Linked DNA regions of Chlamydomonas reinhardtii. The protein of the gene in region 1 binds, or shares a complex with, the protein of each later gene. Links are inferred from orthologs where the notes say so. Each region holds a gene or a part of one and is shown on either strand. Other genes may lie near its edges.

Evidence for each region.
Region 2: CHLRE_08g382590v5 (region 1) and CHLRE_17g728200v5 share a complex: the UniProt entries of both Arabidopsis thaliana proteins name them as parts of the SWR1 chromatin-remodeling complex. The link is inferred for Chlamydomonas reinhardtii from reciprocal best matches to the Arabidopsis thaliana genes ARP6 and SWC2.

Annotation. Positions count from the first base shown.
Region 1 is NC_057011.1:4,509,997-4,513,946, reverse strand, and holds the start of CHLRE_08g382590v5 (uncharacterized protein), read left to right. Parts: upstream 1-1,150; 5' UTR 1,151-1,482; coding exon 1,483-1,565; intron 1,566-2,007; coding exon 2,008-2,086; intron 2,087-2,712; coding exon 2,713-2,892; intron 2,893-3,348; coding exon 3,349-3,525; intron 3,526-3,950. Other genes in the region: CHLRE_08g382605v5 (uncharacterized protein), read right to left, coding at 1-264, 416-457. UniProt on the Arabidopsis thaliana protein: Component of the SWR1 complex which mediates the ATP-dependent exchange of histone H2A for the H2A variant H2A.F/Z leading to transcriptional regulation of selected genes (e.g. FLC) by chromatin remodeling. Binds to the promoter region of FLC chromatin.
Region 2 is NC_057020.1:3,853,930-3,858,106, reverse strand, and holds the start of CHLRE_17g728200v5 (uncharacterized protein), read left to right. Parts: upstream 1-1,377; 5' UTR 1,378-1,459; coding exon 1,460-1,648; intron 1,649-1,746; coding exon 1,747-1,793; intron 1,794-1,924; coding exon 1,925-2,186; intron 2,187-2,399; coding exon 2,400-2,500; intron 2,501-2,717; coding exon 2,718-2,841; intron 2,842-3,807; coding exon 3,808-4,044; intron 4,045-4,177. Other genes in the region: CHLRE_17g728250v5 (uncharacterized protein), read left to right, coding at 1-353. UniProt on the Arabidopsis thaliana protein: Component of the SWR1 complex which mediates the ATP-dependent exchange of histone H2A for the H2A variant H2A.F/Z leading to transcriptional regulation of selected genes (e.g. FLC) by chromatin remodeling.

The DNA of each region.
Region 1 (3,950 bases):
GGAAAAGCAGTCCGACCAGAACTTTCGCAGCCCGCGCGGCAGGTGCGGCGGCAGCTGCAGCGGCACGGGGATGCCGCCGGCGTCGGCGGCCAGCCACTGCTCCTCCGTCTCCTCGGCCGGCGTGGCGTTGGGGGCGGCAGCACCGGCGCCGGCCGCGCCGGCCTTGCCACCACCACCCGACCAGCCCGCCTTGGCGCCGGCGCCCGGCTTGCCGCCGGCGCCCGCGCCCACGCCGGCGTCCTTTTGCGCAGAGATCGGCGCCGACTGCGCAAACGGCATGGGAGACAGGCAAATGGCTTAGGGCATGTCATGCGCTCACATTTTGGAAGGCTTCTGAGCGCAGCGGCGCCCAGGCTGTGCCTGGTTTATCGGTGTGAAAACGGATACACAGGCTACTGGTCGCAGGTGCACTTGCCTTTTCATCATTCGGCCGGGCTACACTGGCGCTGCATCCCATCTTGTCTGCGCGCTTGCTTCAAAACTTCGACCTATAACATATCCATTTTGGCCTCAAGTTGTGATGTATTGCAGTTTTAATGAGGTCAAGCTCGATAGAAAAGCAGGATTTTGGCCCGTCGAAGTCCAAACACACGCGGCAAGATAAAAAGACAAATGTGGCAGCTACATGTAAGGAAATCAGCTCGCATATATGAGTTTGGCGCTCTGTCTGTCGGCGACGCGATTGTGCTTGGAGTACGCGTGTACTAACAGCGATCAGAGTTCACACTGAGACCGCCCTCGAGTTCCCCTAAGGACTTAAGATTGTATGCTGTCGGAACTAACACACCGTGTGTCCCTGACAGCTGAGCTTCTCATGGAGGCCTTGTGGGCGCTGGTGATGGCGGGCGTGGCCCCCTTTCCCCCCGCCCCCTCCTTCAGTCTCATAACCCCCCTGCATACACGGTGACACGGTGACCGCAGGCAACTCCCTCACAGCGTGCTCATATATGTGCCGCATTGTTCGGAATGGTAACGTGCGGCACGCATCTATGGTGCCAAGCGAATGCGTCAGTTCTGGCAGCGAGGGAGGGCGAGGGGCAGCGTGCATTACGGCCAGATCGGCAAACTTGACAGCTGCAAACTGAACTAGAAGCCCAGTGTGTGTACGCCTTGTAAATACAATAGCCTTAGAGCAGTTTATGTAGTTCGCCTCATAACTCAGTTCCATTTGCACGATACAAGCCCAGAATTCATTGCCGCTTGATTGCATGATTAGATTTTACGATATTATTGATATGTGAATTAACAGAATTGCAAGACTCTTCAGGAGAACAGCGGCCGGCAAACAGTGGGCGCAAATGGCTCAGCCGTGAGCTCTCGAGCGAAAGCCTGGTAATATTATAGTTGTTTGGTTCCAGGGGCCTAAAGGCGCTTGCCGGCCGGCTCCAAACGGGCAGCCGGCCCCTAGGGGTCCAACACCAGCCCGCACCCTGAGCAGCGGGAGGCCTCTCCCTCCGCTCCGGAGCCGCCCGGTGCTCGGCGATGGCGGCGGTGCCGGTGGTAGCCATCGACAATGGCGGCGGCAACTGCAAGATTGGCATTGCGGGACAGGCGGCACCCACACGGTGGGTCCTGCGGTTAGGGCGCCCTGCGGTAGGGAGGGCGTGGCAATCAGCGGTTTGGTTGCGTGCCGTAGTGGGCATGGTGCGTTTGCATGTTTCTATAGCTGTGCAAAAAGGAAGATGTTGGCGGCTTGTGGGAGCACTGATGCCCGCAGTCAGCCTACACGTGTGTTTGTGTGTGCACGTGTGTGGTGTGGTGTTGTCAGGGTCTGCAAGAGCACCACGCCCAGGGGTTTGTGTTGCGGCTGCTGAGGCTGTAGGGGCTACTGAATATTGCCCCCGCTTTTCAAACAACTGATCTCGTCCGCAACCGATGCTCCATTGCTCTATCGCTTCGCTCCTCACTGCCTATCACCCACACACCCGCCCCGCCCCCTGTGCCCCTGCCTCCCCCTACCTCCCCCTCCTCCTCCCCCTCCTCCCCCCCCCTTTGCACGCCGCACAGCGTGTTCCCCAACGCCTCCGCCAAGCCCAAGGGCGAGCGCCAGACACTCATCGCCGACCAGCTGGCGGACAGCAAGGAGGTGGGAGGGGGAGGAGGGCGGTGTATGAGGGAAGGGGTTTGGGGGGGGAGAAGGAGGGACGGGCGATGGAGGGAGAAGGAGGGACGGAAAAACGAGGGAGGGGAGGGAGGGAGGGGAGGAGGGAAGGGAGGGACTGGGAGGGAAGGGAGGGCGGGGAGGGAGGGAGGCACGCCGTGTAAAAAGCAGGGTAGAAGGGGAGCGCGGGGATGGCGGGGGACTGGGGGCACAACGTGGGCGAAGGCGCGGGAAGAGAGGTGGGGATGCCGGGTGCGAGGGACATACAGAGCACACATGTGGCGACCTCATGGGCCCGCATGGGCAGATTCGTGGTGGTGCCGATGGCGTCTCCCACTCTCCCATTGCCGCACCCCCGCACGCACCTCACCCCACCTCACCTCACATTCACACACACACACACGCCCCCTTCAACACACACGCACACACATGCACCCCCACACGCCCCCTTCAACACACACACACACACACACGCTCCCTCCAACACACACACACACACACACACACACACACACACACACACACACACACACGCATACACACACATGCACACACCCTTAACACACACACACACACACACGCACCCTCCGTCCGCCCACGCCGCCGCGCAGGTGTCCCAGCTGCAGCTGCGCCGCCCCTTCGACCGCGGCTACTGCTGCCACCTGGAGCTGCAGCGCGACGTGTGGGCCCGCGGCGTGCGGGCGGTGCTGCGGCGCAACCCTGCCGAGTGCGGGCTGCTGCTGTCGGAGCCGCTGTTCAACTTCGAGGAGATACGGGCAGGCACACAGCAGGTGCGGGGCGGGGGTGTGGGGTGGGTGGAGGTGGAGGCTGGGTGGAGGGGGTGGAGGTGATCCGGGCGGGCACACAGCAGGTGGAGGCGGTGGGTGGGTGGGTGGGGTTGGGCGGAGGCGGTGTGGGTGGGCGGGTGGGTGGGGTGGAGGAGATGGGGGTGGGGGCAGTGGGGTAGGACTGTAGGAACTGGGGATGGCGGAGGAGCAGGAGGAGGAGCAGGAGGAGCAGGAGGAGGAGCAGGAGGAGCAGGAGGAGGAGCAGGAGGAGGACGAGATGAAGGCAAGGAGGGAGACGAACAGGAGGAGGGAGGCACTCTGCTCACCCCCCTACCGCCACTACCACACACCACACACCACCCCACCCGCCTCTCCCCCCACCCGCCTCTCCCCTCACCCGCCTCTCCCCCCACCCGCCTCTCCCCTCACCCGCCTCTCCCCCCGCACCCGCCCGCCCAGGTGGTGTTTGAGGACCTTGGATTCCGCTCCTTCTACGCCGCGCCCGGCCCCGTGTTCGCCATGCACCGGGCGGCGGCGGTGCTGGGGGCCGGCAGCGCGGCGGCGCGCACGGGCGCGGGCGTGGTGGTGGACTGCGGCTTCAGCTTCACACACGCCGTGCCCTTCTTCAAGGGCCAGGTGGGGGCGGGGTGGGGCGGGGTGGGAGGGGAAGGGGGAGGGGGAGTGGAGGGGTGTATGACCGAGGGGGATGCGGGCGTGGGGTTGAGGGTGTGGTGGGGGTAAGGGCGGGTGGTGAGGGAGGTCGGCTTATTGCAGGATGGTGTTCAACCGCTGCACCGGTGTTTTGCCTTGCCGCACCTGAGCGGACACGCTCGCCCCAACCTCTGCACGAGTCCCAACCCACTCCCTCGCCCTCACGCTCCCCACCTCACCACCCACCGCCCACGTGCCAACCCACCCAGCTCACCACCCCCCACCACGCCACCCCAACCACCACCTCCCCCCTCCACGCTACTGTACCTGGCTATGCCTTCACTTCTTAAATAATTATGAATGTAATCCCCCCCCCCACACACACACACACGCCCCCTCCCTTCCCCCTC
Region 2 (4,177 bases), on another chromosome or scaffold:
TGCTCGTGTTCCGGTCCAGCGGGCCGCCGGCACTCACCATCTGGCGGCCTGTGCCGCCGCCCGGGTACGCGGTGGCTGGGTGCGTGGCTTGGCCGGCGATCGAGGAGCCGCCGCCAGGGCTGGTGGCGTGCGTGCGGGCAGACTGTGTGGCGCCGGTGTCGTTCTCGGGCGCGCGGTCGCCGATTTGGAGCGGCGCGAGCCCGGAGCACCCCTCGTGGCGCTGTGCGCTTTGGCCGGTGGTGACGGAGGGTGGCGGCGGCGGCGACGGGTCGGGCGCCTTTGTGGCGATACGCGGCGGCGACAACCAGCCGCTCACGCCGCCGCCGGGCCTGATGCTACGGCTGCTGGTGTAGCTGCCTTTAAGAAATGCGTGATAACAATTTGTTGTGAATTGTATGTGGTTTGAATTTGAGCCTCGATGGTTGACGTGATCGGCCGGGCAGTTACTGCGCCGTGTGGTTTGTAGGAGCCAGTGCGGGAGAAATGTACCGTAACACGCAAAAGATGGCTTGTCATTGTCACCGCCTCAGGACTCTGAACCGCTGTGAAGCATGTGGACGATTGTAATTGTGGGCGGACGGTGCCAGCTGCGCTATGCCGACTCCTCCGTGCTAGAGGTGCGCGGCAGCCAGGGGAGCAGCGGTACAGTAGCTGTTGTTGTGTGTGGTTACAAGGTGGTGAGCACGACGTGCATTAAAAGCTGATCGGCTATGGTCGGAGCCGCCCTACCCCTGATTACCTGCCGACCTTCGCAACCGTACATTGGTCTCGAGCACTGCGCCACAAGTAGAAGCCAAGCCACAGCCCGCCCTGATGCAAGGCAGGTAGCGAGGCTCCTGCGGCGCGCCAGGCACGCCGAGGGGAGTAGGAGGGTGGGAGGGATGTCTGGGCGAGCCATCCAGGGCATCGGGGTCGGAGACGCATCCAGCCGGCGCGGGCATCCAGCATAGCCCAGCCACATAACCTGCCTACCTGGGGGCGACCCGACCGGGCCATCCAACAGTCCCCGCCGAGCCATCCGGTTGTCCCGCCCAGGCATCCAGCAGTGCTGGGCCGGCCCGCTAGGGAACTGCAACAGTGCTTGGAAACGGGTAGTCCCAACCACGCTAAAACAGCCAATCCCCAAAATTCCCACACTAGCTTTCATTTCTCCTCCTGGGGAGTACGCCTGTTCCCCACGTCCTCTTCCATACTTTGGCGCGCCTTCACCGGAGAGACCCACAAATCTACGGAGGCCTGTATGAGACGTACTATTCAGGAGCGTCAGGCGCCGACAACCATGGATATCAATGACTTCGGATAACCTGGGATGGGAGCTCCGAGATGGGGTACGTGTCGTGCACCTGGCTTGCCCTGGTCACCTTCTTTTATATTCGTGTATCGTTATAAGCCGACGAGTCTGGGAAAACAACAGAAATTAAGGGCTCCAGGCCGCCTTTAGACCAAGCGCCGGGCGAAAATGGGGCGAGACCTCCCGCAGCGGACAACGCGCGGCCGGCGCATGGCCGCGCAGTTAGACGAGGAGGAGGACGCTGCCGATAACGATTTCTGGAACCAGGAATTCTTCAAGGAAGAGGCAGTCGATGACGATTACAAGACCGAGTCCGAGCCTGAGGACATTATCGATTCTGACTTCGACGAGGAAGAGGTGAGCATTTGAATATACCAAGACCTTGTGCATGCACAGAAGGACGCGCAGCCGGGATCGTTCGACCTAATGGCTGCGCCCCTTGCTCAAATTTGCAGGAGGCAGAAAACGATGATGAGGTGGAGGTTCGGGATGACGAACCGCGGTGAGTGGGGCGCAAAGGACAGCGGCACCCCTGCGCTGACTCGTTGTTTCCGTGCCTGCTGCGCTGCCCCCGACCCACCGCCTGATCGCGATATCCCTGCCCTCGTGCCCTGCCCTTGGCCCGTTGCGCAGGAAGAAAATGATGAAGCCGCCGGGTCGACCCCCAAAGCCCAAGGCAAAGCCGAAGCCCAAGGTCAAGAAGGAGGAGAGCGAGGGTGACGAGGAGGACGAGGAGGCAGGTGACGAGGACGACGAGGGCGAGGATGGCAACACGCGGCCAGCCAAGAAGCCTAAGATCCCGCGGGAGCCGATCATCTACATCGCACCTACACTGCGCCGGTCCACCGTGGCCAAGGTGGCTGAGGCGGAGATCGAGCGGCAGTACAAAGCCAAGGTGAGTGGGAGGTAGGGCCCGGTGTGCCGGGGTCGGTTAGGCGGGGCGCGGCTTCACAAGCTTTCAGCTTCCCAGCAACAAGCCAGGGGGGGAAGAGGCTCGACCGCCGGCTCCGCCGGCTCTGTTTGCGCAACTGCCCATTTCCCGTGCTTCTTGCGGCACAGGCGCTCTGACACACCCCACCCTTCCCTCTCATCCTGTGCAATCCCGCAGCCCGCTCGAAAGCCGCGCGCCAAGAACAACTCGGACTGGCGGCCGCTCACTCAGCAGGAGCTGCTGGCAGAGGCGGCGCTGAACGAGATTGAGAACACTCGGTGAGGCCGGTGGATCTCGAGAGCCGGAGAGCACCCAGCCCGCACCTGGGCTAGCTAGACCGTCGCGCGTGGCCCTGCACTTGCGCCGCTGGACCGCATCCATCCACCCCTCATGACTCGCGCCTTGTTGTCTGGTCTGTTTCTCTTCTTCCTGCCATCGCGTTTTTAATTAATCCTCATGCATTCCCTACAACTCCTCTTTTGGCCCAACCCCCAGGTCGCTGAAGATGCTCTTAGCCCGCGAGGAGGAGACCAAGCGCAAGGCGCAGGTGGTCAAGAAGAAGAACAGTGGGCCCAGCGTCAAGTGGCGGTCGCGCAAGGGCGCGGACGGCGAGGAGCACGTGAGTCGATGTCGGGCAGGGGCGGAGGGATCCGAGGGCAGGGGACAGAGGCAGCGGGTGTGGGTGGTCGGGGAGCGGGAGGATCGCTGGAAGGACACGACATGACCACGCATGCAAGGGGAAGGGATGCATGCCGTCGCACCACTGACGGGCCAGAGGGCAGCGCTAGCACTGGCTGTGTCTCCGGCGATGAAGAAGCACAGGATCCTGAGACTCGTTCGCTGAGGATCAAACTTTTTTCCCTTTCGTCTGAGCCGAGGCCAGCCAATGAAGTCATGCATGCCTTCGCACGATCATTTGCAAGCGTACACAAGCATGCTCACGCTCTCAGGCATGCGAACCACACCAACATGCATCGTGGCATGTCGCGTTGCACTTATGGTTGGTGCCTGCGCGGTGGGCAGATCACACTGGCGGATGATGACATTTTCCAAACAGCTTGATAGTAGATCCCGAGCGGCTTCGGCCCGTTGATGACAAGTTTGGGTTTTTGTGACGCCACTCTGCTCGCCTTCCTGGCACTGCACGTATCACGCACGAGCACACCCACGATGGCGTGAAACGTTCGTGAGACACGCATGAGACAAAGAAGAAGCACAGGACCTGAGATTCACCTCTGTGAGGATCAAACTTTTTTCCCTTTCGTCTGAGTCTCATTAGCGTTACCCACAAAGCGTGTCGGGGTTCGGGATCTCCGCTTCCCAGGGCACATTATCCGAGACCAAGAAGAAGCACAGGACCTGAGATTCACCTCTGTGAGGATCAAACTTTTTCCCTTTCGTCTGAGTCTCATTAGCGTACCCGCCAAGCGTGTTGGTTTGGATGCACTCAGTTTGTTACATCTACATTATTCGAGACCAAGAAGAAGCACAGGACCTGAGATTCACCTCTGTGAGGATCAAACTTTTTCCCTTTCGTCTGAGTCTCACCCCTTCTTCCCTCCCTCCCTCCTGCACCTCCACACAGACGACGCTGGAGCTTGTGAACGCCATCGTGCCGCCGCGCTGGATGCAGCCTAGCCGTGCGCCGCCGCCGCCCCACCCGCCCATCTGCTTCGTGACTGGCCTGCCGGCGCGCTACGTGGACCCGCAGACGCGCAGCCATCTCGCCAACACGCTGGCCTTCAAGCGGCTGCGGGGCGGCGCGGGGCCCTTGGCGCCGGCGCTGCAGCAGCAGCTGGTGTTGCACCACCACATGGAGCAGGTAGGCTGCGGGTGACGATGGGTGTGGAGGAGGTAGGGATTGAGTAGCGGGGATTTGTTTGGGCCCTGAGTTGGAACGCCAGGCGACTCGGCGCGGGTTAGCATGGAACTGCCCGTGCGGTAGGAAGCATGCC